Linked DNA regions of Diceros bicornis minor. The protein of the gene in region 2 interacts with the protein of the main gene of each other region in a pairwise test. Links are inferred from orthologs where the notes say so. Each region holds a gene or a part of one and is shown on either strand. Other genes may lie near its edges.

Region 1 (7,290 bases), on a different chromosome or scaffold from region 2:
TACGGCAAATTAATGATTTTCTAAAGACCTGAAAACAAGGGGAAAATAGGCCAATGACGTGAAAGTCAGGAAACTTGGGTTCTAGACCTACAAAAGTAGGATTAAGTAGCTGAATGGGCAAAAGTCCCACTCGCTGTCTGTGCACACTGAAAAAGGGAGAGAGTAGATCTTTCAGAGTCTTTTCCTGTTAAAAATAAAATCCTCAATCCAAGGCCCAGAATCTTCCTTAATTAAAAGATTACTGGTCATAGAACATTAATCTAGACCTTACTTAATAAATGTGCTCACTGTTCTTCCATGGATTAGGACCTGAATTCTTATGAAGCCCCTAATTTAAGAGGTCAACTCACTAAATTAGCAGCAGTTAACACTGAATACTGCTGTCATTAAGTTTTATCCTTGGTTTTATACTAGCTACAAAATAACTTCCTTGGAAATTTATGTTTAACCGTTTTCATTGGATGAGCTTTAAGGGCAGGACCAACCCTGGTCCAACCTTTAGGAGAACTGGAGGATAGTGTTGCCTTTACAACCAGCTAGCTGTGTGACTGTGGACAAGTCATTTCACTGCCCCAGCTTTTGCTTCTTCAGATCTAAAATGAGGACCCTGGCCTAGATGGTCTGTACTTCCCCATTCTTACCCTCTTCACCCAGAGATGCAGAGTTGCCTGCACCAGAATTTTGTATTTCAAATAGTTCTCTTTTGTTCTGGGTCCATCATTCTGTTCTATTTTATAACTGCCTACTCCCCATAAAGAGACTGAAAGAATATAAAAATATGCCAGATTTGTGCTTTGAACTCTAAAGGTATTAAATAACTCAATATATTGTCACTAGTTCAAAATGACTAAGCACTTACGGGAAAAGATCCACAATAAGATACTCTCAGTAACATAGTTGATAAATTTACCTCATACCTAACATCAGTTTATATTTTAGATGTTTATTTTCTTGGGGATTATCCCTCAAGTATTATTTCATGCCAATATAGACACTAATCTTGAAATATGCTTATTTAGCAAAAGGCTTAACAGCGACACTATTGACATTTTATAATTGTGTGGGAGGCTGTTCTGTGCATTGTAGGATGTTCAGCAGCGACCCTGGTCTCTACCCGATAAATGTACCACCACCACCACTCCCACAAGGGGTGGCAACCAAAAATGCCTCCAGATAATGTCTCCTGGGGGGTAAAATCCCCCTGGGTAGAGAACCACCGATTTAAAGAACAACTCTTCCTTTTACGTAGACAAGTCTGGCAATGCCCCCTGCCACAGCCTAAAACTACCTTAAGAAAAGTGCTAACCTAGATTAGCAGGCCGAAGCTGCTTCTTGGAAGCAAAGAAATAGTCAAAAGATCTACAAGGCCTTTCCCCACAGCTTGATCCAGAGTGGAAAGGCCAACGGAAGCATGGCAAAGAACTCGATCAGACACTAGCTCTTTCTCCTTACCGTGAACTAGGTGTATTCGAAAGTAAGCACATATGAGTTTATGAAATAAGCATGATTTGAAATAGGCAGCTTGAAACCATCAGGAGGAACCAATTCTGCAAGCATTTTCAGGTAGGAGCTGAACACCCCGCGTAGCTCCGACACCCGCCCGAAGCCCAGCGGCCGGCAGGGCCTCGGGTGCTGGGTGCGGGCGCCCAGCTCCCGCCACGCCCACCGGACGTCACCCGTTACACAACGCCTCCCCCCCAGCTTATGCAACTCTGCCCTCCCGCGGCTTCCAATTGCCCCGGTGACTTTTGTGGGAGATGAAGGTAAACGGTGCACGCCTCGCCTCGGCTGGGGATCCTCTCCCCGCCCCGGCTGTCGTTTCCCCGCGGTGGACGCGGCCCGGCCGGGCCCGATCGGTCAATTACCGGAAAGCGCGCGGCAGGAAGCGGGCGGCCGCCGGGGCTCGCCCAGCTCCCACCCATCCCGCGCTCGGCCGCCTCGCCCCGGCCACCCGCTCCGCTCGGACGCGCCCGCCCGCCAGGCCGCGGCCGAGGGAACCCCGCGCCCGGGCGCCCCTCCCGGCGCCGCGTCACAGTCGGCTCCGAGGGCGATCCCCATTGTGACCAAAGCACCAGGGGCGCCGCCCCTCCCACACCCTCGAGGACCCGCAGCCCCGACACCCGGGGGGCACAGAGGCCTCCCTGGGGCGCAGACGAGCAGCCCGTCGGGGAAGGAGGGTGGGGTCGGCGGGCCGCGCCGCATCCCCGCGGTCACCTGCTCGCAGCGCCTCGCAGGCGGCGGCCAGGGCCTCGCGGTAGCGCCCCTGGCACAGCAGCTCCCCGAGCCGGCCGGCCGCCCGCGCTCGCTCCCGCTGGCCCGGGAACCACTTCTCGGCCAGGTGGTTGAGGACGACGCTGGTCCTGAAGCCCGAGGCGGCGACGGCGGCCGCCAGAGGCGGCGGGCGCGGGCCGGTCCCCGCAGCATCCGCGGCCGCGGCGGGGGCGGGCGGCAGCCGGTCCCGGCAGAGGCGGCAGCGGGCGCGGAGCTCTCTCCGCAGGCAGCGGCGGCAGTAGCTGTGGCCACAGGGCACGGTCACCGGCTCGCTCAGGAAGCCCCGGCAGCCCAGGCAGCTGAGCAGCCCGCCGGCGCCGGGCTCCGCGCCCGCCGCCGGGGTCGCGCTCCAGCCCAGCCCGTGGCGGAGCCGGTAGTTGAGCACCAGGCAGTCCACCAGGGTGCCGAGGCACTCGGGCCTGGCCGGGGCCCCGCGGCGCAGCGCCGCCGCGTACGCCTCCAGCGCTCCCTTCAGGTGGCCGCCCAGCGCCAGCAGCTCGCCGCGCCGGAGCAGCAGCTCCCAGCGCTCCGACTCCGCGGCCGCGCGCTCCAGCCCGTCGCCGCCGCCGCCGCCCACCTCCCAGAACCGGCCCCGGCTCTGCGGCCTGGGGGCCGTCTCCCGGCTCCCTCCCGAGGAGCCCCTCGCCACCGCCGGAGAAGACATGGCCCACGGACGGCTGCTCCGCCGCCGCCCGCCGCCACGGTCCCGGAGGCTCCGGGGCGCGCGGCTCCGCACGCGGCCCGCCAGCAGGGGGGCGTGGCGCGCGGACACGGCGGGGCGGCGCGCGCCCGGGAAGCCCCGGGGGCGGGGCCTGGCGGCGCGGGGCGGGGCGGGCTCGGCGGCGGCGTCCGGGGCTCCCCCGCACCGCCCGCGGCCGGGTCCCCGCGGAGGCGACCGCCTGGCCCCGCCCTGCCGAAGCCCCTCCTGGTGGGGGACGCGAGGTCAGATGATCCCCCAGCGGGGATCTAATTGGCTTCTCCGGAAAGAAGGGCCTGGCTTGTAGCTGAACAAAGCCCCGGGAAGCTGAGACCTCCATCCTTGTCGCCTCTCCACCCGACGTCCCCCACCTGCTATGGCTTCTCCCCTAATGCCTACTTTGTGGCGGCTCTTCTGCCGGTCACGCGGCCGGCTTCGTTAGACTGAGGGCCAAATCGCAACCCTCCCCTGACGTAGCCGCCGCCTGAGTGGGGACCCGTCGCCTCTTCCAGGCCCGTGGGAGCCTCCCCCTGTAGTGTCTTGGTTGTAAGGTGCACGTCTGCATTTTCATTAATTCATGCCCAAGTGACAGATGGACATGTAGAGGCAGAGGGCCTAGGAATCCGCAAAGTCAGGGTCCTCAAGTTTAGAGTCGCCAACTTTAGAAACAAAATAACCCCACCTAGGTTCCTGAGGCGACTCTCCAGAGGGCAAGACAGTTTTCCCTGGTGCCAAGTTTCTGCTGCCTTTCCAGTTTAAAACTCACCCTCCACCTGGAAGGAGGAAGCCTTCAGGTTCCCAAGGTGTCGGCTGTACTCTCCACATCTCATTCCTTGCCCCGCAGCTGGCTAAGGCCTATATTTGGCATTTTTAAAGAGAAAACACCAGGAGGAAGGCTTTTCACAGGGCAGTCACCATATCACTGCACCCCAAACAGGGTCTGCAGTTTTGCCCACAGAAAAAAAAGAAAATTGATCTGGTTTTTGTATAATGGGTTCCATTTCTTTTAAACTTGGTGGCAGCGAGTTTAAAGCTCTCAGTTGAAAATATTTATAGATTGATTATAGAGTATCAGCTTGTTCATGCTGGAAGTTGCTTAGAACTTTGAGTCCTTTTTCAAGTGGTTAGAAACAATGGCCCAGAGAGGGAGAGTTATTTGCCCAAAATCACACAGCTAATATTATACAGACCTTATTAGATGACCTAACTCTCATTCCATTATTATTAGGTCTTAGATAAAAGTATTTTACGTGAGATTTTCAAAATAAAATTGCTAAGTGGAAAGTTAACCTGAGCATGCTACATCTGAAATTGGCTAACGTGTAATCACCATCCCTCTTTATACAGAACAGGCAGTTAGGCCCCAAGCTGCTTTGAGTAACATGTGTTTTTACTACACAATGAGCAAATCATGTAACTTCAGAGAAGATGCAGATATATTGCCCCAAAGGGAACAAGGACAAATCTAACTGAGGAAAAGGTGAGGTTCCTGTTCCAACAGGGTGCAGAGACAGACAAGTTCATTTATCATTCATGTTCACCTGAAGCAAATTGCAGCTAAGACCCGAAGAGCAGCTCCTCATCACTTGAGGTGGGGAATATTGGAATTAATGCCCAAGCATAACCTTGAATCTAATCCTAGCCTCCACAATTACTACCTTCCCTCAATAAGCAGAAGCATGACTTTAATCAGATGCCTACATATTCGAGACTTGAAACTATAAAGTGGTAAAACAAAAATCCATATACACATGGACATTTACATTTGTGATGCATAGTCCTGTCCTTCACAGCAGCCTGCCAAATGTACGACAGTAAATACGTGTGTTCATGATTACACAAGAAGTATAATAAATTGATAAACATGCTTATATTTCTTATCAAATAGAGTTCAAAGCAGGTTTGATTATGCAATTTCCCCCAAAAGTAACATGTATAGTTCAGAAAATAATATGAAGGATCATTTGTCCTTTGGAGGTTCTTTCCCTAATAGATGTGACAAATAACCACATCTGATTCTGGTGTGAAAAAAAATGGTACGATTATGATAATGTGAGAGAAAAAAAATGGGACCGTAGGAGGAATCTTGCCGTGTTCTCTTTGGCATTTGTGAATGGTTATAATTCATGTTTGCTGGTTTATACATTTACATAACTGGTTCTCATTTATGTAACTTATTTATGTAAGAGGCTGTCCTGCCTCTGTATCCTTTGTGTACTGCACAAGTTCCCTCTGAATCAGGAAGTCTGGGGCAGAACCACCACTGACTCTGCAACAGGTCACCCTCCCTTCATTCTGTGCCCCCCCAAGAGGATCTGCGCTTAGATGCGACTGCTTTTTAAATTCAGAAGAGAGAGAAATTAGTATCTCTCTTCATTCATTTTCTAAAATTTGGACTTTGGTCTCTGAGTCACCCAGCAAGCTGCCATGGAGAAGAGAGAATCCTGCGAACCAGCCCCCAGACAGGAGGAGTAGGATGGGGTGGGGTGAATCTCTCCTCTTTTCCTCTCAGCATTTCTTGCTTCTGTCTTTGTTAACCAAGTAGTAAAATCATGAGATTTGTATTTCATTTCAGTTTTTCAGTGTTGTCTTCTAAAATAGATCAGTTATGTAAGAGAGTAAGAAGAAAAGCATATCTGTTTCCTAATTTGGAAAATGCTTATCACTATCATTCTCTGCCACACCAGAAGGAGACTTTTCCCGATATAGTGAGGTAAACTCCTATTTCAGAATCACGTAACAGAGTGCTTTTCTTGTACACGAGTCAGCTGAAGATGTGTATTTGAACCTCCTTTTTTTGCCGTGGGTGAATTTACCATTTGTTTCTTCTCATTCTTACCATTAAAAAAGAAAGACTGAATTGAAGCTTTAAAGAACCAAGCACAGTTATGTCCTCTTCCTGATTCTTGGCAGTTGGTAACATTCTAGTCAATGCATTGAAACAGTAAACTCTACAGTGTAACATAATCTGTGCATACCCAATAGCACATCTATACGTAATGCACAGGAGGAAGGGAATTGAGAGACCACCTCTCACAGCCCTGGTTGTACATATATGAGAACACTGAGAGCTGAGGAGCTGCTGGTTTAATAGAAGTCATACTGGAGAGGGGATCCAGAGACCAGTGTTGACCATATTTATGCATCTATATGTGCAAGGAAGTCACCTGGCCTCCCTGAGCCTCATTTGCCATCTGTAAAATGAGGGAACTGGAACACCCTCTTGGATGCCTTCTGCCTCTGGAGGCGAGCCCTGGGAGTTTGTTTGAACACAATGAGAGGAGGCAGAGTCTCCCAGCCTCAGGAGCACAGCAACGTGACACCTGATGAAAATGTAACAGCAGAAGGTGAAGGCTGAGAATAGAAGAGGAGGGTATCAGGAAGCACATTTTGTTGGGGCACACCCAGCCCTGTCCAGAGCAGGGGGAACCAATCTGGGGGCATGAACGTTTTCAGTCATTGGACAAGGATCTCCCATCACACACATACCTCCTCGCCTCTACTGTAAATCTGTGAGAGGCTGGAAGAGAGCCCGTGGGGGGGCCTGGTTACATAACTTGGGCATTTGTGGGGAAGTTTATATAAGATGCTAAAAATACAATATATGATTGCTCTCATAGTGTTCTAAGTGAAACGCCCTAATGAGGACAACATGAGTAGGTTAAATAGAGGTGATGCCAAGCAGATGTCTAAACCCAGTCGCAGGCAATGACTACTGACTAAACTAGTACAGTTTACTACTCATTGCTCCTGGCATCCCAGTGGGGAGCACTGTCAAAGTGCTCTAGGGCACTACCCTTCCCAAGGGCACCATTCTTATTCTTTTCTAACACTCTGAAGAATCTAGGAATAGGTAACCCATATTCTCTTTTATTGGTAGTCAAATTGATAAAATGAATGCATTTCCCAGTATCAAGCTGTTAAAAGCAAATAGACATGGGAATAAATCTTATACATTATTTAACAAGTTCTAAGAATTAATTACATATGAATTCCCTTGGTGCTCTCCATCCTCCTTCCTTGTCTACTTCCCCCTGCCTTAGCACTTAGCGTCATCTGACATATAATATATATAAGTATTATTTATCTCCTCCCTCTAGAATGTAAGCTCCTTGAGAGCTGGTATTTCTGCCCATCTTGTTCACTGATGTGTCTCTAGCACTCAGGGCACTGAGAAGCCAGTACATAATCATTGTTGAATGAGTCACACACAAATTAATGATATCACCTAATACTCTTCATTCTTGTTAGTGTCAAAAATACATTTACCATTAACACACTAGGACAATTTATTTTCTTCATTTCTCCTCTCTTTCTCTCAT
Region 2 (7,561 bases):
GTATTTATCATTAAATTTAGTCTGCCAAATATAAGATTGACTTTGTTATTAAAAAAAAAAAGAAAAAAATCTGAAACTGTTGTCTTTATGTGCTGGAAAATATTTTTAAATGTCCTGCTAATTGGGATGACCCTATTGTCTAGTATTTCAAAGAACAATATACACTTAGGGAGAGGTTTACTGTTACCAGCAGTTATTAAATAGGACTTCAAATAGTCTTCTTTAAAATTTGGCAGTTTTTACTTCTTCTCAGAGCCAAAGAGATCCCTAGTTTTTTGTCTCATAGTTTGTATCAGGAGAAGTGGCAGCGCAGCTTTTTCTCATTGTTTACTTACGCTTGCATAATTAATACCATCTTCAATCTGCTACTGCTTTGAAGCAATCTTTTACAGCCACTTGGCATTTTGGTGAGGGGTTTAGTTAAAACTGCATAATACAAATCTTAACCTGGCACTTGTAAGCTGAAGTCCAGCTAACACATTCAGTGACTGAAGGCACCTATGTCTTTCCAGGTTGGAAAAATCAAGTTTTAATATTATTTTATATTTTTAAGTAAAAAATAAAAGGTATCGCTTCTCAAACTCTACTAGATCCTCTCGCACATCCTCTGTGGTGTAGCATCTCACTCTGGAAAGCACTGTTTTCGGGAATGCACAGGCCTCTCTTGAACATCAAAACATTCACTAGTTACGCTTATGTTTATTCGGTATACAGAAGTCAAGTCACCGGGAGCACACGATAGAGTCCCCTGCAGTGACTCTGTGCCTCCCCAACCTCAGGCTTCAGGGCCCAGTCTGGCAACCACTGAACAAGCTTTATAGGAGGGAAACTTATTTGAAAAAACAAATATTATTCTTATGACCAGGAAGTAAAAACAGAAACTAGGTAAATAAGGAGATAATGAAAGTGACACAGATATGTCAACTGGTAGATGGGAAATCAAACTCTACTTTCTACTAGCACTTTGTTTTAGCACATTCTTCTTAACATCATGTCATGATCATGCCAATCCTGGCTAAATACACTTTATTTACATAAAAATGCAGGCTGTTATGTATTATTCTGCTCTTTTTTGTCAAAAAAGAGTAATGATTTTTTTTTTTAATCAGCTGAAGGGAGAGGAGAGGAAACACTGACAACTTTGGCATAGAGTATGTTTTCCATTTGAATAGTAAAGATTATGGCATGATTTATTTTTTAATACTAAATCATACTAGTATTCTTCAGTTTGGGTTTTTATGATCTTTGTAACATAAACCTATTTATATTTAATTATTTGAGATGTGTTTTTTCCAATTTTCTGAGATTCTCTAGCAAAATATTTTTAAAGCAAAAAAAATTTAAATCCAAAAACCTAACCTAGTCAAAACTAGACAGCTTAAAAAAACCCAAAAACCTTATTAAAAGAATATGGTACAACTAACCCAACCAATCTCTGACAACAAAATTCTGCAGTTTCAGAAGAGATTTAGAGCACAGTTAAATCTTTATGACTGAGTCTAAACATCTTGTCTTTCAGGGAATAACATAGACATGATGGATAAAAAGGCCAATCAGAGGTCTGTTTTTGAGAACATATTACAATTGTAACTTTAGATATACCAAATCTTTCTTCCAGTAACAATATAAGTTTTAGATTATGAGTAGCAGCTAACAACAGACAAAACAGGTTTAGAAAAAGTTAATAATGGTCAGAAATAAGTAAATCTTGTGAAGCATATTTTGAAGTAGCATTTATGAAAACTCAAGAACTTGAATTTATCTCAGTTGTTTTTTATGAATGTTTTTTATAAATATTAAATCTCTAAAAACAGGAAAACAAAATTATAGTCAACAAACTACACTGTGGTTCAAATTTTTAGAGCATGTTTACTCAAAGTTGCAGAGTAGTTGGAAAGCCATTTTTTATATCGTGGCACAATTAAGTTATTTAAAATTTCATGTTTCCAAAATATGAAGGAAACAAAGTATTCTGGCAAATAATAATATAATGAGGCCAATTTACCTTTACCTTAGTCTCTAAGGCTTAGTTACTTCTAGACGTCATTTAGCCACACCATATATGTCTGCCTCGAACAGTCAAATTTTCCAAAGAAGCCGACCAACTTTCATGGGTGGGGCAAGAGGCTGAGAAGGAACAGGATTCATTTTGGCTTGCTCCAGCGTTGGAAAAATATTTAGTACCACGCCCTCAACAAAGGCCTAACACAGCAAAGAGTAATGTCAAATCAATCCATTTTGGTCTACTGTCACAGTCCTCTAAGGAACTAAAATAAGGCGAAACAACAAAGCAAGTACACAAGTTTGGCGGCAGCGGGACTCGGGGCACCTAAAAGATGGGGGGAAGGAGACCATCAAGAAAATGTCTCTAATTTTTAATCCTCTATTCGAGCTACGACGGAAAAATAGTTTCTTTATCCACTGATAAAGAGTTTAATTCTTTTATCTGATCACCCTTACATGTCTTAGTGGTTACCACCACTTTCTGGAGCAGATCATTACTCAGCACGAAGGTGGAAACAAGCGCCTTCTATAGCCGGGGGGGGGGGGGGGGGGCAGCGGGGTCTTCGGGGAGGAGGTGGAAAAAGGAACATCAGCACCAAGAGCTCAGGTGACAGCAGCCCTCCCTGTCCCGCACCTGGACTTGGCAATGATGAAGCACAAGCTGACCTGCGCTGGTCCCCGGGCAGCTGGGGAGTCGAAGGGCAGGCTCCGGCTGGGAATCCCGGGGCTGGGAGGAGGCCGCCAAGACCCACCTTCAGCTCTCGGACGCCCCCACCCCGGCGCACGCCCACCTCCCAGCTCCCAGCCCCTCTCCCCAACTTCAGCCTCTGCCCTGACGGCCCGCTCCGCACTCCGCTGCCCTCGCCCCCCAGCCGGGCCCGCCTCGCCTCCTTCCGACCCCCTTACCTTTCCATTCTTGGGGCTGCCGTTAAGGAACAGGGTCACCCGCCTCATCGCGCTGCCCCCACTGGGTCCTGAGTGAGCCGCCACCCTCCCACTTGGCTCTCCTCCCACCTTTTTCTTCTCCCGCCCCTCCCCTCCCTCCACCCACTCGGACTCTCCTCCCTTCGCCACCTTCTTTCTCCGGCAGACAGACACACACACGCACTCTCCGTCCCACACCCCGGGGTTGGCCGGTCCTCCTTCCCACCCCGCCCCTGGGCTCCTCAGTCCGCCTGGATCCCTTCCCCCACCTCTCCCAGACTGACTCTAAGCTCCACCAATCAACCGGCAGGGCCGGCCAGCACCCAGCCAATCATCGCCCTGCATTGGGTGGGTTCATACTAATCCAGCCCAGGTGGACGGAGAGAAGAGAGACTGCATTCTGTCGGACGGGAGGGTTTATCAGCCAATCAGAGCAGACCCTGGAGCCAAGCGGCGTCTCAAAGCGTTACTGAGCAGGCGCAACCCCAACCCCAGGTACAGCTTATCTGCATACAGAGGCGGGGTTTGAGGGAAGGAGGTGGAGCGCTAGAAACGACCCACACCAGTCAGCACCACCCCGCTGTAACCACCCCCGTTTGCTCAACCCACAGAGGAAGCGGCTGCCGTCAGGACTGGCTGATTGGGTAAGCGCCAGCTGCGGTTCTGTCAGGATTGGTCCAACGATTCTTTTCGAAGTTTGCAGCATCCAATCGAAAGGCGGGGGGAGGAGCTAAAAGAATAACCGAAGGGTTCTTCCGCGAAACTCCTGGAAAGTAGTCCCCGCGGACGCAGGTTAGCCGCCGGACCCTCCGGTCCGTGCGTCACCCGCAGCTAGCGGTGGCTTCTCTCTGAGCGCAGGCAGCCACTGCTGTTCCTGGGACGGCGAGGAAGAGGCCTGGGAGAGGTCGGAGAGGGCGCGGACACTTGCGGGTGGGGGCGGCGTAGAGACTCGCAGAGTGACGCCGGACGCCGCGGGGCGGGGCCGGCGATTTGAATCCGGCGGCGGGCGGCGGCGAGTCGAGGGGAGGGTGCGGTAACGCGGCTGCGGGGTCGGGGCGGTCGCGGCGGCGGCCGGGGACGAGGCGGCCTTCCGGCGGTCGCTTTCCCGAGCGAACCTTTAGGACCAAAGAGCCGAGGTCTGGAAGGCCGACCGGCACGACGCCCGTCTGCGGGGCCGTGTTCGCGGTGGACCCCGGCGGAGGAGAGCCGAGCGGGCGGGAGAGGTGGGGCAGTGGCCCGGCGGGGCTTCACATGCGGGCCGCAGAGCTGTGGGTTCGGCCGTTTCTCGAACTGTGCTCTGCTTATCCTGCCCCACCGAGGTGGGGCTCCTCCTGCCACCTGAGCTGCTCACCCGCAGGCTGTTTAAAATGCAGGTTCTGGGGCTCAGCCACACCTCCTGAATTGGAATTTCTGCGAGTCTAGAAAGCTGCGTGTTTCCCAGGGTGCGCGGATGATTCGGATGTTCGCTGAGGTTGAAAAGCCGTGGCTTGTAGTATGGGGTCTGCTTTGTTTCATCCTGAACAGGTTTCCTCCGTTTCTCTCTTTAATTTGAGCTCCAGAGGTATTCTCTTGGCATCTATTTTCATGCCAGCATCGATTGCATTAGGGTTCAGTCTTGCATGAGGATCTCGATAGAATCACATTAATCTGAGCGGTGTGGTCATTTTTGTTTCTTTCTTTCTCTTCTTCTTTTAGATGGATACCAACTTCAAGGACAGCAAGCTCCCTGAAACCAAGGAGTCTGCTGTTAATAATGCTGGTGTGTAGTAATCTATTGCCGCCTTGTGAAATTTAAGGTTTAGGTGTTTATCTTGAGAATGGTGTTTAACCTCCACAACATGTCTGTTTCAGAAAATGCCTCTTTAGTTTTTGGAAATGGGAACCTTGTAACTCCTCAGAAACACGCGCGCAAAGTGACTCCTAATTGTTGCACACCGGATAGTTTTAAATCACCTTTGAACTTTTCCTCAGTAACTGTAGAGCGCTTGGGAATTACACCTGACAGCTTTGTAAAGAACTCTTCTGGTAAGAGAAGTTGTCATTCTTTGCAGTGCTTTTAGAATTTAAAAATAACTTTAATATAACTCAGTTTTGTTCATCTATTGTGTCTTATTACTTGACGTATTTAAATTGACTCTGCAAACTTGCTTGGTCAAGGAGACTTCTGTGCACATACACAGTTCTTCTAGCGCAGCAGGATACCAGGGCCCCCGGGCATCCAGCATGACAATGCTCCTAAGTCAGAGTTGTGCTCTGTGCCCGAACTGGAAAAGAATATGTGTATGAATCACTTTTTGACCAGACACATGGGATACCGGAGTGTGTATACTACAAAAAGTAATACATTTTGTGGTTGTGTATGACAAAAGTAAAAGAAAGTTGAAGTGATTAAGAAAATATAACACTGAAAGATTGGAGTATGCCTCTTTTAAAATTAGAAACAGAAAATTTACCCAAAGGCTAATCTTCAAGAAGTAGGAACGAAATTCACAGGAGCCTGTGAAGTCTGACTTAGATGGCGAAGAAGGAAATAGGGGAATGGAATTAGATTAGAGAATAGCATTTAGGAATGGAGGGTAATGGGGAACTTGAAAGTCAGAGGGCCCTAGGCTGGGAAATAGGTGCTTGAGACAAGACCAGAGGAGCGTGCCACTCTATGTTCCCTTCTCAAGAACATCACTCTTAGACTTTTAAAAAGCTAGATTTATATTGTGTGCTTAGGTGTTTGGCCAGAATTCAGGGTAGTGTGCTGGAGGTAGGTAGGTATCTAAGAGAGAAATTATCTTGAAGAACTGGAAACAGAGAATACATGTGCCTAGGTGGAGTTCTTTCCTTTTAGTCTTGGGGATGAGACTAGTTCAGAAAAAGAGAAATTCTTAGTCCAAAGGAAGCTATTACCCACTTCTGTGTGCAGGAAATATGAAACAAAAATATGAGAACTATTAAGTAAAATATGTTCATGCCTTTATTCCACAACTGTTTGATAAATGTCTGTGTGCTGGGCACTGTTCCAGGAGCATGGAATAAATCAGTAGACAAAACAAAGATCCCTATGGAGCTGATCAGAACAATTTTGCCTATAATTTTCTATTTAGATTTCTGTACCGTGTGTTTATCAGGTTCTCTCTCAGGCTGGTACATTATGGGTAATCAGGACATGATTACTGATGATTGCCTTGTCTTATTCCAGTTTAAAAAAGAGTTTTCATTATAGGAAAGTCATCATCCTACCTTAAAAAATCCAGACGACGCTCTACAGTCGGTGCCCGGGGCTCTCCTGAAACAAACCATCTTATTCGTTTCATTGCTCAACAGCGGAATTTAAAGAATGCAGAAAAATCTCCTTTGACACAGAATTCCCCTTTTCAGGTATGATTTTCTTCTAAGCCCTGTCTAGGGGGAATGTTTTCCTCTGTTATGAAGCTTTTTTACAGTGTTTCTTCCTTCCAGTGCATCTCATCTGTTTTGGATCTGGAGAGGAGAATATTTTCTCTGTTTTACAGAGAGTGTGCAGTTAGCATAAATGGTGATGTTGAGCATGGATATATTAAGAGTTATGAGATCTTGGATAGAAATGGCATTCTATAGGAGCTTTCTATTTTATTTTGCAAATTTTTTTCTAGTTAATGTCTCTTTTCCTATAATGAAGCAAGGCAGTGTTTTCCAACCTTTTTCTTTTAGTATCTTGTCTCTAAGCGTCTAATTTTTTTGTGACTGCGATGTATTGGTGTGTAGGGGCAAGAGTTCCCCGAAAACAATGTATTTGGGATAACCTTCTGGAAGGGAGCAAATTATTTGTCAGCTGATGGGGAAGTATTTAGATATTTTTGCAGATTTTTATTGGAATGATACAAGCTCCCCAAAAGTCAAATAGTAGTACAAGGCTTACTATGAAAGGCACAGTCCCCAGCTTACCTTTCTTGAAAGACGACTACTTTTGACTCTTGGTATTGGCCTTCCTACTTTACAGTGTATTTATATTGCCACTTCCTTGTTTTTCAGTGTTACACAGCGCATGCGTGAGGCCTATAGTGCAGTGCAGTGGTTCTCAAAGATTATCTGCAGATCCCTAGGGATCCCTGAGTTCCATTCAAGAGGCCCATGAGGTCAAAACTATTTTTTGTTACAGCACTAAGATGTTATTTGCGTTTTTTCACTGTTGATATTTGCATTCATGGTACAAAAGCAGTGGTAGGTAAAACTGGTGACATCAAACTGTCATTTTATTCAGCACTGCTACACACTCACAGGAAATAATAATAATGCCACTTTCACTTAACATCCTTGATGAAGCGATAAAGATTATAAATAATTATTAATTCTCAACCTTTGAGTATTATGTGTCATGAAGTGCAAATTATGCATCAAGGACTTCCAGCGTACATCCAGAAATATGGTGGATGTTTCGAGAGAAATCGTGTGTGATTGAGCTGTGAGCTGAGCTAGCCACTTTTTTTCACGGAACATCATTTTTACTTGAAAGCATGACTGACAGATATCAAGGTTAATCAGACTTGGGAATGTGGCTAACATTTTCTTAAAAATGAACTGTGAACCTGCTATTTCAAGGAAAAACTGAAATATTTCTTACCAATGATAAAATGAGTTTTCAACAAAAAAATTAGAATTTTGG
Region 3 (7,231 bases), on a different chromosome or scaffold from region 2:
GGGAAAAATAAATAAATAAAATCTTAAAAAATAAATAAATAAATAAAAAATAAAAACTTCAGTTTATTATCTAAAAAAAAAAATCCCTAATACATACAGAATGACCTCGTTCCATTTCTGGGTCAGCTTCTACTATATAACAAACAAAAACCAGGACATTGTGCACTAGCTACTTACACAAAGTTGCTTAGCAAATCAAACACAATGGGTTTAGCTTGCTATATGTCCCATTTTTTCTTCCCCATACACAAAAACTGTAAATAACTTTTGTAATAAAAGTGTAATCATGCACACATTAGAGCATATATGACGTAACAATGATGATTAGCATCCCAACTGAGAAACATATTGAAAAGACACGGAAAGTTTATTTTTTGGATCATGTTTAAAAATCATTCATTTTGAAGTCAGAAATAATCAATAAAAGTCTCCCTAATATAAAACCAATTTAAAAAGAGAACTGACACTTCACAATCAATTCAAAATTAATCTTCACACCAAGTACAGGGTAGGTATTATTATTCCCATTATGAAAATAAGGAAGTCATACTTACTCTAATTTCAAAGCAAAATAGCACAGTAAGGAAAACATGGGCTCTGGACTCAGAGACCTGGGTTCAAGTGTCTCAGCAAAATGGGCCTAATCGTAGCCCTGACTCACAGAGCTCTGATTAGAATTACAGCACGTAAAGTGCTTGACCCAGTGCCTAATATACAGTAAGTGTTCAACAAATATTAGTTATTATTATTCTAACAATATCTTATAATAATAGCAAAAACTGACTAAGTAACGTATAAATGTAAAATTTGCAGTTTCTGCTTACGAAAATTTAATTTTCAACTACGTGACAAGACTGAATGTGACTCATGGCACTCAGAAAAGTCAAACATTTGGTATGTTATTTATATGGGCTTTATTAACCATTCCTTCTAAATAGTATCAAAAATTTGTTTCTTGCTATCCAAATGCTGTCAATTATCTAATCTTCCTCTTATTTCTCATTAGAGTAGACCCAGATATTAACAATGCAAGCCTATACAAGAGGAAAAAGACAAAGTAATTCAGGAAAAGAGTAAAACAAATACTGAAATAGGTGTAAAGAACTATAACTACACTGTAATTATTTTGAAGTGCTAGTTATTATGTTACTACGGTACTATTACATATTTCCAAAGAACATTACACACCGAAAGACTACACAAAAGCATAAACAAAAGCATATTCCAAACATACATTTAGGAACCCACTGTAATAAACACAAAGTTTTAGGTCCCACCAACTATCTTCACTCTCCCATCCCCCAGAAGAAAAAATATATATGGCAAGTATAAGAAGAATTAAGTCAAGAAAAGTTCTGATATATCTGTATGTATATTGTGAGACAGTAGAAAGCACCAGAGTGAGGGGGACAGAAAGGACTCAGACTGTCATCAACCATCCCTCAGGCTAAATTTCCCTTAAAGAGAACTACACCAATGGATTGTGCAAGTCTTTCATTTCATTTCACAATCTGTACTCCTAAAATAAGTACTGTACCTTGCTCAGCTGGCATTGTTTGTTGAAGTAACCCTTAGTTTTAACATACCATTGGGTGCTGGGAAAATGTTTATTCTTCACCTGGAATATCTGCAGTATGTGGACTTGAACAATTAATATCAGCTAATGTCATATTTCTGACCAGGCAATAAACAGGAAAAGGTTTATTCACATTTGTAACCCTAAGAAATACACACTCCAAAATGTTTTTGTTGAGTAGAAAACTCTGGAACCGGAAATGAACAGTTTTCTGATCTCTAAAATAATACAAAACAAATACCTAGACCAACATCTGTACGTAAGTTTAAATGTAGCAGAGTATCTGCACTGACATTATGCGTTTAGTTTCTTATGACTAACACTAAAACAGTTCGTTACTCTATTCTCAAAAAAAAACTTATTTTGCACAAAATATGGCATTATATAGCCTTCAAAGCCAAAAAAAAACCTCATTCTACAGACATATATCGCACTTACTCTTTTCCAAACTCAGAAAGTTGTAACCCAATTTTCAAATACGTCTATGATAGCAGACGGTTTATTTTCCGTTCTAAAATTTTCGACGGTTCTCACAAGTCCCCAAACTCAGCAGACAAAAAGGAAATCGACATCCTGTTAACTTGGTCGATTCTTTCAACGACAACACATTTCAGCGAGGCTCCCCATTAAACAATGGAATGAATTTTCATTACGTGACTAATTAGAGCAAAAGATCTCCTACAATACTTGGTCGCTTTCCCAAGATAAAAGGCGGGGAAAATCTTTCCCAAGATAAAGGCGGGTGCGAGCTCCAGGCTTCCTATTAAGGCCACTATCTCGATGGCTGCCATCACCTGGTTAAATAAATGTCGCTCGACTCAAGCTTCCATTGCTAACAGATTCCTTTTTGCAAAGCCCAGAAAAGGGAAGCACTCAAACATGAACTAGAAGCCTAGGTGACCAAAGAGCGGTGGCTGTAACCCCCCTCCAGGGCACCGCCCACCCACGTGTACGCCGGTCAGTTTCTTCCCTCCGACGCTGCCCGCGACCCCGGAACCCAGCGGCGCGTTTGGGGCGCTGTGAGAGTCACAGGTATGGGCAGGTGGGGCACGGCCGGCGTGTGGGGGCACAAAACGGCTCAGTCACCACTCGACGGCCGTTTTCTCACCCTCCCCGGGGCCCGCAGCTTCCTGGAGCCGCCTTCGTAGCGGCAGTGTGGCGACGCCTCGGGCAGGGGGCCTCCCGGGAACTTGGGGGCGAGTCAGGGACTCCCCCTCCGCGACTGAAACTAGCAGACGAGAGCCTGGTGACTACTGCCTTTCAGTCTTGCCCGCTTCCAGGCCTACGGCGTGGATCGAAGTGCCAGCGAGGAAAAGCAGTTTTTCACTCACCCAGCGTGGGTGCCTGGGGTTCCACGGCAAAGGCTGCCATCGCGTCGGCAACTGCACTTAGCCCCAGACCTTCCCGATTTTCAAAAATGGCGGAAACTCTCCCCACGGGTAGGGGCGCGCTACCTTATGGGGTTGCGTAACTTCCGGACATGCGCTATACTTAAGTTGTAGGCGCTGGAGCCGTCATTTTGGAATAGGGCAATAATCTTTGCGCAATCTCAGCGTCTGGAAGAAGCAGTTCGCTGGTAAGGTGATCAGCCAGCGTGGAAACTATGGTTCTGGGAATGCTGCTACTCCCGCTGTGAGCCTCCTGGTTTGTTGGTGCTTGAATTTCATAGAAGCACAAGTTCTTTTACTCACGGTTTCATAATTAGCGTGAGTTTACCTAGTGCTCTGTTATCTGTCAGCTTTTCCAAGTGACTGCTCCATTCTCAAAGCGTATTTTCTACCATCCGTATGCCACGTTTTTAAATTTTATGTTCTATAGGCACAGTTTTATATTAAAACATAACGCATACTTACTGTTTTATTACACACTAATACATACAAAAGATATTAAATAACGGAGGCTAACAAATATCCGTGAACCCACCAACGCCGCGGAACCCTGTGTGCGCCTCCCTATCTCATCCCGACGGTCCTCCTCCCCTCGGTGTGGTGCTTTTCTTTAGAGTGTATTCAAATATCACACACACACACATTCTATATTTGTGTGTACAAAAATATGTTGTTTAGTTTTGCTCACTTACTAACTTTATAAAAGTGATGTGCTACGTTGTTTATATTCTGGGATGCTCTCTGGTCCGTACCAAACTCATTATCCTCAAAATACCCACCCATCCTCCGTCACTGTTTCCTTTGGGATTTCCTGAAATCCCACATCCAGCAAGAATTTTTTAATTTGAGTGAGGCAATAACAATTCCACCATTAAATGACAACTTCCCAGAAATCAAAATTTAAAACCACTTACAGATGAATTGATCTTTTTTTTTTTTTACAAGCGTGTGAGTTAAACTGTGTCCCCCAAAAAGATATGTTTAAGTGCTAACCTCCGGTACATAGGAATGTGACCTTATTTGGAAGTCTTTGCAGATGTAATTAAGTTCAGATGAGGTCATACTGAATTACCACCAACTTGGCAGCTTAAACCAACACAAATTTATGTTTTATGGTTCTAAAGACCAGAAATTCAAAATGAGTCTTATGGGGCTAAAGTCAGGGTGTCAGCAAGACTGGTTTCTTCTGGAGACTCCGAGGGAAAATATGTTTCCTTGACTTTTCTAACTTCTTGCGGCTAACTATATTCCTTGGCTTTTGGCCATGTCCTCTCCTTTCAAAGCCAGAGGCATAGCATCTTCTCTCTCTCTGACACTGCTTCTCTTTGCTTCTGTCATTACATGGCCGTCTTCTTCTGTAGTAAAATCTCTCTCTGCCTCCCTCTTATGAGAAGAGGGATATAGGTATGTAATGAAGAAGTAGGTTTGTAAAGAAGAGGGATGTATGGATGTAGGTAGGGATGTAGTTAGAAATTACATTTAGGACCTACTCAGATAATCCAAGATAATCTTCCCATTTCAATATCCAGTTGTGATGATTAAGTTAATAATCACATCTGCAAAGTACGTTTTGCCATATAGGATAACATTCATAGGTTCCCGAGATTAGAGTGTGCATATCTTTGGGAGCTGTCATTCAGCCCACCACACCCAGCAATTCCATTTTTATAACTTAGGTACCAAGAAAGGTTCATCAATGAAGGAATTTCTATATAAATTATGATATAGCCAAACAAAAGAACATTAGGCACCTGTTAAAAAGAATAAGATGGATTTGATATGTGAGTACGAGTGTGTATTCACCTAGAAAAATCTCCATGATTGATATACTGAAAGAAGCAATTTGAAAACATGTATATGGCATCATTTTATTTTCATTTAACAAAAAAAGGGTATTTGGGTATAGATGCAAAGAGAGAGAGAGATGCTTGTTTAAATAAAGGAAGAAGTTGGGAAACATTTGTGCCAAACTATTAACAGGAAAGATAGAGTTGGAGAGGGGTTTGTAAATTGGAGGGCTTAAGAAGGGCCTTTAATTCACTTTATATAATTTTTAGTGGCTGATTAGAGGTGTTATTTACTGTTTTTAGTATTCTTCAAATTAAAAACTTTTTTTCCTTTAAGAAAGAAAGTCATTTTCCTTTCTTCACTTGCATTTCAATCTTCTACCTTTTTGACTGGCTCTTTCCTCATCAAATTATAAAAAGACCCAGTTTGCCCTATCCAAAAACCTTCCCTAGAACTTGCTCTTTCTTCTGGCTACCATGCATTAATTTCTGTCATATTTCTTCTCTTTTTTTCAAGATCTCAAAAAAAGGTTTACAGACTTTAGTAGATGGTCTGTTTCCTTAACTTCACCATTTTGTTTTTTAATTCATTAAACACTGCCTCCTGTGTAAATTCTCTTCTGAAACCACTGACCGCAACTATTTTTCTCCTGATTGCCAAATTAGACCTGTCTCCTTGACATCTGCAGTATTCAACAGCTTTGACAATCTTTTCCTGTATATGGGTGTTTTCCATGTTTTGGTGATGCTATACTTCCTACTTCTCCTCCCAACTTTCTACTCTTTCCCTGGCTTTTCCGTACCTGATCCCATTTCATTCTAACCTGGACATATTATTGTTAGTCAAGCCTTTGTCTTCTTTCTCTTCCTCAATTCCTTATGGTCTCCTTTGGAGTCCTCGTCAATTGTCACATCTATGCAAATAATTTCCAGTATTGTCTGCCACCCTTCTCTAAAGCCAAATGATACTTTTCCAGATGCATGCTAAGCAACCTACCAACACATCAAACCTCAAAAACAAACCCATCCCTAAAACCAGTCCCATTCCAGTTGTCCCTTTTTCTGTTAGTCTCTTAGAAACAGAAGATTAAAAGCACAGGGTGTTAGAGCAGAACTTAAGGTCAAACAGACCTGAATTCAGGGCCCGACTTTCCTGCTTAAATCTTGTATTGCTTGGATTTGTACTAAATCTCTGTAGATTTTATTTTGTGTAAAATAGAAACAATACCTACTTTGAAAGGTGGTTATGCTTAGTACAGTGTCTGGTCCACTTTTCTTTTTTTGGCTTCCACCTTCCCTGCCATCAAACATTCAGATACAAGTCCTGTTCTTTCTCTCTCCTCAATTCCTAGACAATTGCAGTCAACTCTTAACATCTCCTTGCCTTCAGTCTCTCCCAGCAACTCTAACACATCACTAGCTACTTTGTACACGTTACCTGGCTGGCCAAAAACCCTCAGTGACTTCCAGTTCTCTACAGCAGCTTTTCTTTAGCTCCACAGGATTCACGTGTGCAGTGCATGCCAACCAATAACGTCCCTCATTACACTACATACATTCTCACCTGGCTAGCAAGGAAAGCGGGAAACCAGAATCTCTTAGGGTAGACAGTGTGATAGACTGAATGTTTGTGTCCCCCAAAATTCATCTGTTGAAATCCTGATTCCCAATATGACGGAATCTGGAGATGGGGCCTTTGGGAAGTGATTAGGTCATGAGGGTGGGGCCCTCATGAATGAGATTAGTGCCCTTATAAAAGAGATCCCAGAAAGCTCTCCACCCTCACCTCCACCTGGGCCATGTGAAGATATAGCTACAAGACTGCTGTCTGTGAATCAGGAAGCAGGCTCTCACAGGACACCAAATCTGCTGGTGACTTGATCTTGGACTTCTCAGCCTCCACAGTTCCCAGAACTGTGAGAAATAAATTTCTGTTGTTTATAAGTCACCCAGTCTACGGAATTCTGTTATAACAGCCCAAACAGACTGAGACAGGAGGGTAGAGCATCTCTTTTAGAGATTTCAGTAGGTACCCCTAAAGGGAATACACATGGTCACTCTACCTTCATCTGGTGTGATTGAGAACCCTGGCTTCAAAAATAAAGTCTCTTCACCCTTTCACCCTAACCTTCTGCTCCAGTTAATTCTCCCATTATTCCCCTTTGCAAACCTTCAACCTCTTGTGAAAGATCTTCACATTGTATTCCTTGCTTTGCAGCATCCCCCTGCCTAGCATCTCTTTGCTTTCCACCCCTTTACAAAGTCCTATCCTTTCCGCAAGTAGCAGGTCTCTTGCACCATGAAACTTGCCCCAGCCCTGCCAGACCTCAATCACTCAATCACAGAACACACTACTTCTACAACTCATTTGCTATAAGATACTTGTTTTGTAAATTTCAGCCCCACTAGATGGATTTTCTTGAGGACAGGGACCATAACTTTTTCTTTTCTGTATTTCTATCACTTTTCAATAAATATAT
Region 4 (7,425 bases), on a different chromosome or scaffold from region 2:
GCCAGCTCATGTCCACAATAGAGGAGAACGATGGTCAAGTCCATGACAAGTGTGTGCTTCTGCTGTTTGTGTGTGTGTGTATGTTGATTCTTTATTTGTCTAATATCCAAGGCTGATTTCATATATTTAATTGTAAGAACTATGGATGAAGAAAAAGCATACTTGTAAAATTCAAGTGCATGTTCTAAGAAGCTACCATCAGGGCAAAAGCAGATGATGAAAAGAAATGAATTCACTGTGGGGATGGAGGAGTAAACAGACACACAATTGGTGACTGTTCCTATTTCTTCTCCTCTGTTCACATTAGTGACGTTTGGGTGTTGATCTTGATGTTGTGGCTGTGTTGTCTTCTGCTGTTCCTTCTTGCAGTCCCCATCTGCCCCTGTCTCCTTCCCCATCCCCTTGGCCAGGGACCTATGTCTCGGAGCCCAGAGAGTTAAAGTTGCTGCCCAGACATGTTGGAGTAGAGTGGCCCTGTGGTGGCAGAGAGTGCACCTTGTGGAGACTCAGGCACCTGGAAGGCTCCTCCCTTAGGGATTTGGCTGCTGGGCTCCAGGCCTGCCGGCCTCAATGTTCTCAGCCCTGAGCCCTCCCTGCTTTCCCAGCCTCCTCCCTGGGCCCTGAAGGGCTCACCTGGAGATGCAGGTCAATTGTTCACAGGGTAGCTGGATGGTCTTCTCTAGTTTGATAAGGTGGGAATCTGAGAATCAGGTGTAACATGAAGGGAGACAGCAAGAGAAATCAGAAGAAGGAGGGAGTGGGGGTGGTGTTGGGGGAAGAGGAAGAGAGAGAGGGCAAGGCTAAGAGACAGGTGTTAACGGCCCAGGGAGAAGGGGTACAGGTGGAACAGGAAGTGAGCAGAAGAGATGAGTGAGGCGGACAGGGATGGATACGGCCAGAGTGAGGCAGGAGGAGCGAGACGCTGAGCAGGAAGTGGTGGTGAGGAACAGGAAGGGCAGCGGTTCAGGAGAGAGGCCAGATGGAAGATCAGCCTCAGTGCGCCCAGAGCCAACCCCTTGACACTTGCGATAGCATCCCTGCCCACCCTCGGAAAGCTCAGGCTTGGACCCGGGCATCCAGTGGCCACGGTTCCGCGCCAGAACAGTTCCAAGCGCCGCGGCCTTGCCTGCTTGCTGAGATCTCCAGCCTCTGCTCCTCTGCACAGCCTGCTCCCTCTCCCGAATTCAGCCCTGTTCTTCCTGCTCCTGGGTTCTCACTCTACCACCCAGCAAGTCTCCCAGCTTCCCTCCTTGTCCCCTCCAGGCAGTTCTGCGCTTTAGAATCACCTGGGAGGGGACCTGTACAATTCTGATGCCTAGGTCGTTCCCCAGACCAATAAAATCAGAATGTCTAGGGGCGGGAGCCAGGCATCAGTAGTCTTTAAAGATCCCCAAGTGATTCCATGCAAAGCAGTTGGGAGCTACTGGCTTAAGGCATCTTCCCAAAGAACCAATGTCATCCCTCGCCTGTTGAAATGGGCTCAGTGACTCTCCATTGCTGATGCGCAGAAAGTGGGGCAGTTGAGAGGAGAGAGGAGTGTGGACACTACTTTCTGCACCTCAGAGCTTCTGGACCTGCATCCGGGACCCCTGGGTTCTCTATTCGCACAAGCACCATGAGAGGTCCCTGAGCAGAGGGTAACATCTATTAAGCATCTACTAAGTGTGAACTGCAAGACAGAGCATACTCTTCCCCTGAGTTCACTGAACCTTTCTCACAGTATGGCTTTTCCAGCCTTAAAAGGCTTCAAACCTGCCTCTCACTTTTCTGCCTTTCCAAATCCTGTCATCTTACAGCGCTCAGCTTTGATCGTTCCTCCTCAAGGGAGCCTGCCTACTGCTCCCAGATCCCCCTCATGTGTGACATAAAAAGCCTGGCTTGGTCAGAGCGGGAAGAGGATGTGCACTGCCTGAGACAGGGAGTGAATGCCCCAAATGAGTAACTGAGACCCTCAGTGCCATGACTTCTGGATAGAAATGGAGAGAAAGCTGGCAGAAGGTCACGGCCATCTGGGGGACTTATGTAGGCCATAGGGGTCAAAAGCTGTGGAAGTTCTTGCTTTTCCGATAAGTGTTGCAGATATCAAGAGTTCAGAGGAGGAAGAGGAGGAGCAATTTGTATTTTTATGTCACATAACAGACTACAGAGCACGTACATTAATCCTCAAACCCACCGAATCGTGATAGGCGTTGTTCTCTCCATTTTGCACCAGAGCGTTTTAAAGTTAAGAGCACAGACTTTGGGTTCAAATCCTGACCACATCTTACTGGCTGTTTGATCCTGGGCTGCTTACCCTCTCAAGGGCTCCGTTTCCTCATTGCACAGTGGGCGTGTGCTGGGGGTCGGATGGGGCCGTGCATGCAGTGCCTGGCAAGTTGCTTAAGCACTAAGTCTTAGCTATGACTGTTTGTACAGACGAGAGAGCTGAGGTTCAGGGGAGCACAGTGCTTGTTCACACATGGGGGACTTGGAACTCAGGTCTCTCCACGGTTAGTGGCTGTTTAGGACACACTCAATTGCTACAAAATTCTTGGGTTCCTTTTTTCAGCTAGAGAAATGTACTCGCAGGACCGCTGGCCTTCCCTGTGGACCCCACAGCTGGCAGGGGCCCCCAGTTTTCCTGAGCCAGTGTGGCCCACGTTGGGTGCCCGGCACTTACGAGATGCGGATGCTCTTGAGGCGGCCCTTGCGGAATGTGATGGTGGCATTGCGGCAGCAGCGGCTCTCGTAGTAGTAGCACTTGAGGTTGCTGCTGGTCGTGCAGCAGCACTTACAGTTGGGGTCATTGGCCCAGGAGCAGCAGCACCAGTGGCAGTTGGGGTTCTCGGAGCAGGTGCAGTGGCAGCACTGACAGTTCCGCTCATCCTTGTAAGGGCAGGGAAAGCAGGTGCAGTTCCGCTCCGAGGTGAAGAGGAACTTGCAGCACAGACAGGAGCATAGTCGAGGACAGCATCTCTGCCATGTACAACATGGAGAGCAAACACACATGGCGGTCTCCATGGTGCCTACATGATTGCCACCGCCCTCTGGGCCTCTTGATGCCTCCTCTACTAGAATCTTCCTGTGAGTTCTCCTGTGAGGAGGACCCTCCTCTCCCTGATGAGCCCGTCAGCTTGGAGGTTGCAAGAGGTTGGCTGTTATGAGGCCTTCACAGGCTGTGTTCCTACTGGGAAGCTCATGGGCTGGCATTTACATATATCAGACTGAGGCCATTCGCTTATGTCACAATCCCTGTCTACCTACCATATCTCACCAAGCTGGGTAGGTGGGAGGGTGAGATCTGGGGGGTAGTGGCAGGTGGGCTGATGGACACTCCATGCTTTCAGAGGACCAACTCCAGAGGAGAGTTAATGCCATGAGCCATCCTGGAGCTTTAGCTGTCACTTGTCACCTTTTAGGTTATGGGGTGGATTTCAGAAGCTATTTCTCTTTGCTTGGTGCTTTTCCTGCAACTTGGGTAAGTTGACTTCAGGGTATGTCTTTATAGGCTGAAAGGCCTGGGTATGATTAATTGGAAAAGTAGACTGACGTGATGTTCCTCTCCTTGGGCTTTTTCTGCCTTGATAGAACTCTTTGTTTTATGAACAAAGCACGCTGTTTACAAATGATAGCAATGCTACATTTAAAGGGAATCACCATTTGGAGAAAGAATTAAAGGAAAAAAAGATGTAAGTTCACTTAGGCGCTTCTTTCAGTAGTGGTTGAGTTGGTCAGTTGCTGCATCGTCACTGCTGCTTCTCATGAGTCTTCATGCATAAGTTACTCTGAACATTTCTTGGCTTTTTTATAGCTTCATGGTGAAACGGAGGCTTCAAGGCTGAGGCTCAAGCTCTGTTTCTCCCCCTCCTCCCATCCCACTATATCCCTTTTATCAATAGGCTGGAACTCTACATGAGAACCTTTAACTCTTCTTTTAGTACATGCTCAGTATCTCTAGAAACGACCTTATATTTTAGGGGAGAATTTTGCTTTCCACTCTATGCAGCTTGAAAAGAGTTAAAGAGCAGAAATTTCAGGGCCGGCCCCATGGCTCAGCGGTTAAGTGCGCGCGCTCCGCTGCTGGTGGCCCGGGTTCGGATCCCGGGATCCCGGGCGCGCACCGACACACTGCTTGTCAGGTCATGCTGAGGCCGCGTCCCACGTACAGCAATTAGAAGGATGTGAAACTATGATGTACAACTATCTACTGGCGCTTTGGGGGGAAAAATAAATAAATAAAATTAAAGAGCAGAAATTTCATGGTCATTTGGTATAAACACTCTGGTGTAAACACTCTTATTATTTTTCCAAAAAGAAGCAGAAATGAGAGCTGAATTTGGCTGCAGTAGTTTATTGCATAATTTATTATCTCTCCCTATGATTCTCACCTTTATAACAGGAATGTTCACTGAGTACCAACAGTGTTAGCCACACATTGATCTTAGATTCCTACAAATGAAAATCCTGGATCATAGGGTATGTGCTTTATTTTTTTGATAGATACTACTAAATTGCTTACTTAAATGTGTGTGCCAGTTTATAGTGACATCAATAATGTATGAAAGACATTTTTTCCCTATGAGTTTTGTGAACTCAATTTTATCAATATTCCTTTCTACCTGCCAGGTACAGAGGTTTGTTTCACTCCTGAATTTCTAGTACATTTTCATCATTGGTCTGTGCAAGGCTTTCTCTTGTTTTTTTTTCCTTTCGTTTCTTTTTAAATCCTTATTGAAATATAATTTATTTACCATTAAACTCACCACTTTAAAGTCAACAATTTAATGGTTTTTAGTATACTCTCAAGACTGTGCAACTATCACCACTATCTAAATCCAGAACATTTTTATCACCCCAAAACGATACTGTGTACTCATTAGCAGTCATTGCCTATGCCCTCTCCCTGCAGCCCCTGGCGACCATTAATCTACTTTCTGTAATATTGATACATGCTAAAACATGGATGAAAATTGAAAACATTATGCTAAGTGGAAGAAGCCAGATACAAAAGGTCACATTGTATATATTGTATATTGTATATTATATGGCTGTACCACATTTTGTTTATTCATTATCAGTTGATGGGCATTTTGGTTGTTTCCACTTTTTGGCTATTAGTAATAACGTTGCTGTGAACATTTGTGTGCAAGTTTTTGTTTGAACATATGTTTTCAGTTCTCTTGACTATATACCTAGGAGTAGAATTTCTGGGTCATATGCTAACTCTATGTTTAACTTTTTGAGGCAATGCCAAGCTGTTTCCAAAACAGCTGCATCATTTTGCATTTTTGCATTCCCACCAGCAATGTATGAGGTTATAATTTCTCCAGATCCTCACCAAAACTTGTTATTGTTCTTTTAAAATTATTATTATTATAACCATTATAGTGGGTATAAAGTGGGATCTCATTGTGGTTTAGATTTGAATTTCCTTGATGGCTAATGATGTTGCGAACTTTTTCATATGCTTATTGGACATTTGGATATCTTTTTTGGAGAAATGTCTGTTCAAGTCCCATTTTAAAATTGAATTGTCCTTTTTATCGTTGAGTTGTAAGAGTTCTTTGTATAATATAGGTACTATACCCTTATCAGATATATGATTTGCAAATATTTTTTCCATTCTGTTGTTTGTCTTTTCACTTTTTTGATAGTGTCCTTTGAAGCACAAAAGTTTTAATTTTGATGAAGTCTAATTTACCTGTATTTTTGTTGTTGTTGCTTGCTCTTCTGGTGTTATTTAAGAAACCTTTGCCAATTCCAAGATTTTAGAGATTTACACCTATGTTTTCTCCTAATAGCTTTGTATTTGAGCTCTTACTCTTAGGTCTTTGATCCATTTTGAATTAATTTTTGTATTTGACATTTGAATGTCCATATATGTGGTTTATTACTGGACTCTCTATTCTAGTCCTTTGATCTATACGTCTATTTTTACACTAACCACACTGTTCTGATTACTGCAGGTTTGTAGTAAGTTTTGAAATTGGGAAGTGTGAATTCTCTACTTTTGTTCTTCCTTTAAAGATTGTCTTGGATATTCTGATTCCCTTGTATTTCAATATAAACTTTAGGATCAGCTCTTCCATTTTGGCACAGAAGTCCATTAGAATCTTGATAGGGATTGCATTTAATCTATAGATCAATTTGAGGAGGATTGTCATCTTAGCTATATTAAGTTTTTCAATCCATGAACACAAGATGTCCTTCCATTTATATAGGACTTCTTTACTTTCTGTCAACAACGATTTTCTTTTTTGGTTTTTGTTTTTGGCTTAATCCAATACTATTTATTATCTTATAGTTCTGGAGATCAGAAGTCCAAAATAGGTCTCATTGGGCTAAAATCAAGATGTCAGCAGGGTTGTATTCCTTCTGAAGGCTCTAGGAGAAAATCTTTGCCTTTTCCAGCTTCTGGAGCCCACCTGCATTCCTTGGCTTGCGGCCGCCTTCCTCCATCTTCAAAACCAGCATCCTAGCATGTTCAGATCTCTCTCTCTCTGACCTCTTCACACCTCTTCCTTTATCACATCTCCTCTGACTCTGATCCTCCTGACTCCCTGTCAACAATGTTTTTTAATTTTCAGTGTACAAGTCTTGTACTTCTATGGTTAAATTAATTCCTAAGTATATTATTCTTTTGATACTACTGTAAATGAAATTGTTTTCTTAATTTTATTTTTGGATTGTTCATTGTTAGTGTAGAGAAATAAGCTGATTTTTCAATGTTGGTCTTGTATCCTGCAACTTTGATGAACTCATTATTAGCTCTAATCTTTTTTTGTTGATTTTTAAGGAATTTTTTATATATATGACTTCATGTTATCATGAATGGTATTTTGAATATGACACCAAAAGCACAGGCAACAAAAGCAAAATAGACAAGTGAGTCTACACCAAACTAAAAAGCTTCTGCACAGCAAAGGAAACAATCAGTAGGGTGAAGAGGCAACCTATGGAATGGGTGAAAACATTTGCAAACCATATATCTGATAAGGGGTTAATTTCTAAAATATATGAAGAGCTCATACAACTTAAGAGCAAAAAAGAAAGATAATCCAACTTAAAAATTGGCAAAAGACCTGAACAGACATTTTTCCAGAGAAGAAATACAAATGGCCAATAGGTACATAAAAAGGTGTGAAACATCACTAATCATCAGAGAAATGCAAATCAAATCCACAATGAACTATCACCTCACATCGGTTAGGATGGCTATCATCAAAAAAGCAGGAAGATAACAAACGTTGGTGAGAATGAGGAGAAAAGAGAGCCCTTGTACTCTGTGGGTGGGAAGGTAAAGTCATACAGCCACTATGGAAAACAGTACGGAGGTTCCCCAAAAAACTAAAACTAGAACTACCATATGATCCAGAAACTATCACATATATCCCATTTCTGGATATATAGATGAAGGAAATGAAATCAGTATCTTAAAGAGATATC

The links.
Region 1: the proteins of KCTD9 (region 2) and LONRF1 interact in binary tests that used the Homo sapiens proteins (3 or more experiments, as listed by UniProt). The two-hybrid records come from large-scale screens. The link is inferred for Diceros bicornis minor from reciprocal best matches to the Homo sapiens genes KCTD9 and LONRF1.
Region 3: the proteins of KCTD9 (region 2) and NUP35 interact in binary tests that used the Homo sapiens proteins (3 or more experiments, as listed by UniProt). The two-hybrid records come from large-scale screens. The link is inferred for Diceros bicornis minor from reciprocal best matches to the Homo sapiens genes KCTD9 and NUP35.
Region 4: the proteins of KCTD9 (region 2) and TRIM42 interact in binary tests that used the Homo sapiens proteins (3 or more experiments, as listed by UniProt). The two-hybrid records come from large-scale screens. The link is inferred for Diceros bicornis minor from reciprocal best matches to the Homo sapiens genes KCTD9 and TRIM42.

What each region holds. Positions count from the first base shown.
Region 1 is NC_080768.1:25,798,002-25,805,291, reverse strand, and holds the start of LONRF1 (LON peptidase N-terminal domain and RING finger protein 1), read right to left. Parts: upstream 3,009-7,290; 5' UTR 2,936-3,008; coding exon 2,215-2,935; intron 1-2,214.
Region 2 is NC_080750.1:68,411,331-68,418,891, reverse strand, and holds the start of KCTD9 (BTB/POZ domain-containing protein KCTD9), read right to left. Parts: upstream 3,002-7,561; 5' UTR 2,959-3,001; coding exon 2,911-2,958; intron 1-2,910. Other genes in the region: CDCA2 (cell division cycle-associated protein 2), read left to right, coding at 4,423-4,452, 4,624-4,687, 4,780-4,953, 6,143-6,297. UniProt on the Homo sapiens protein: Substrate-specific adapter of a BCR (BTB-CUL3-RBX1) E3 ubiquitin-protein ligase complex, which mediates the ubiquitination of target proteins, leading to their degradation by the proteasome.
Region 3 is NC_080749.1:62,994,907-63,002,137, reverse strand, and holds the start of NUP35 (nucleoporin NUP35), read right to left. Parts: upstream 3,009-7,231; 5' UTR 2,948-3,008; coding exon 2,908-2,947; intron 1-2,907. UniProt on the Homo sapiens protein: Functions as a component of the nuclear pore complex (NPC).
Region 4 is NC_080741.1:12,847,368-12,854,792, forward strand, and holds the start of TRIM42 (tripartite motif-containing protein 42), read right to left. Parts: upstream 3,001-7,425; coding exon 2,660-3,000; intron 1-2,659.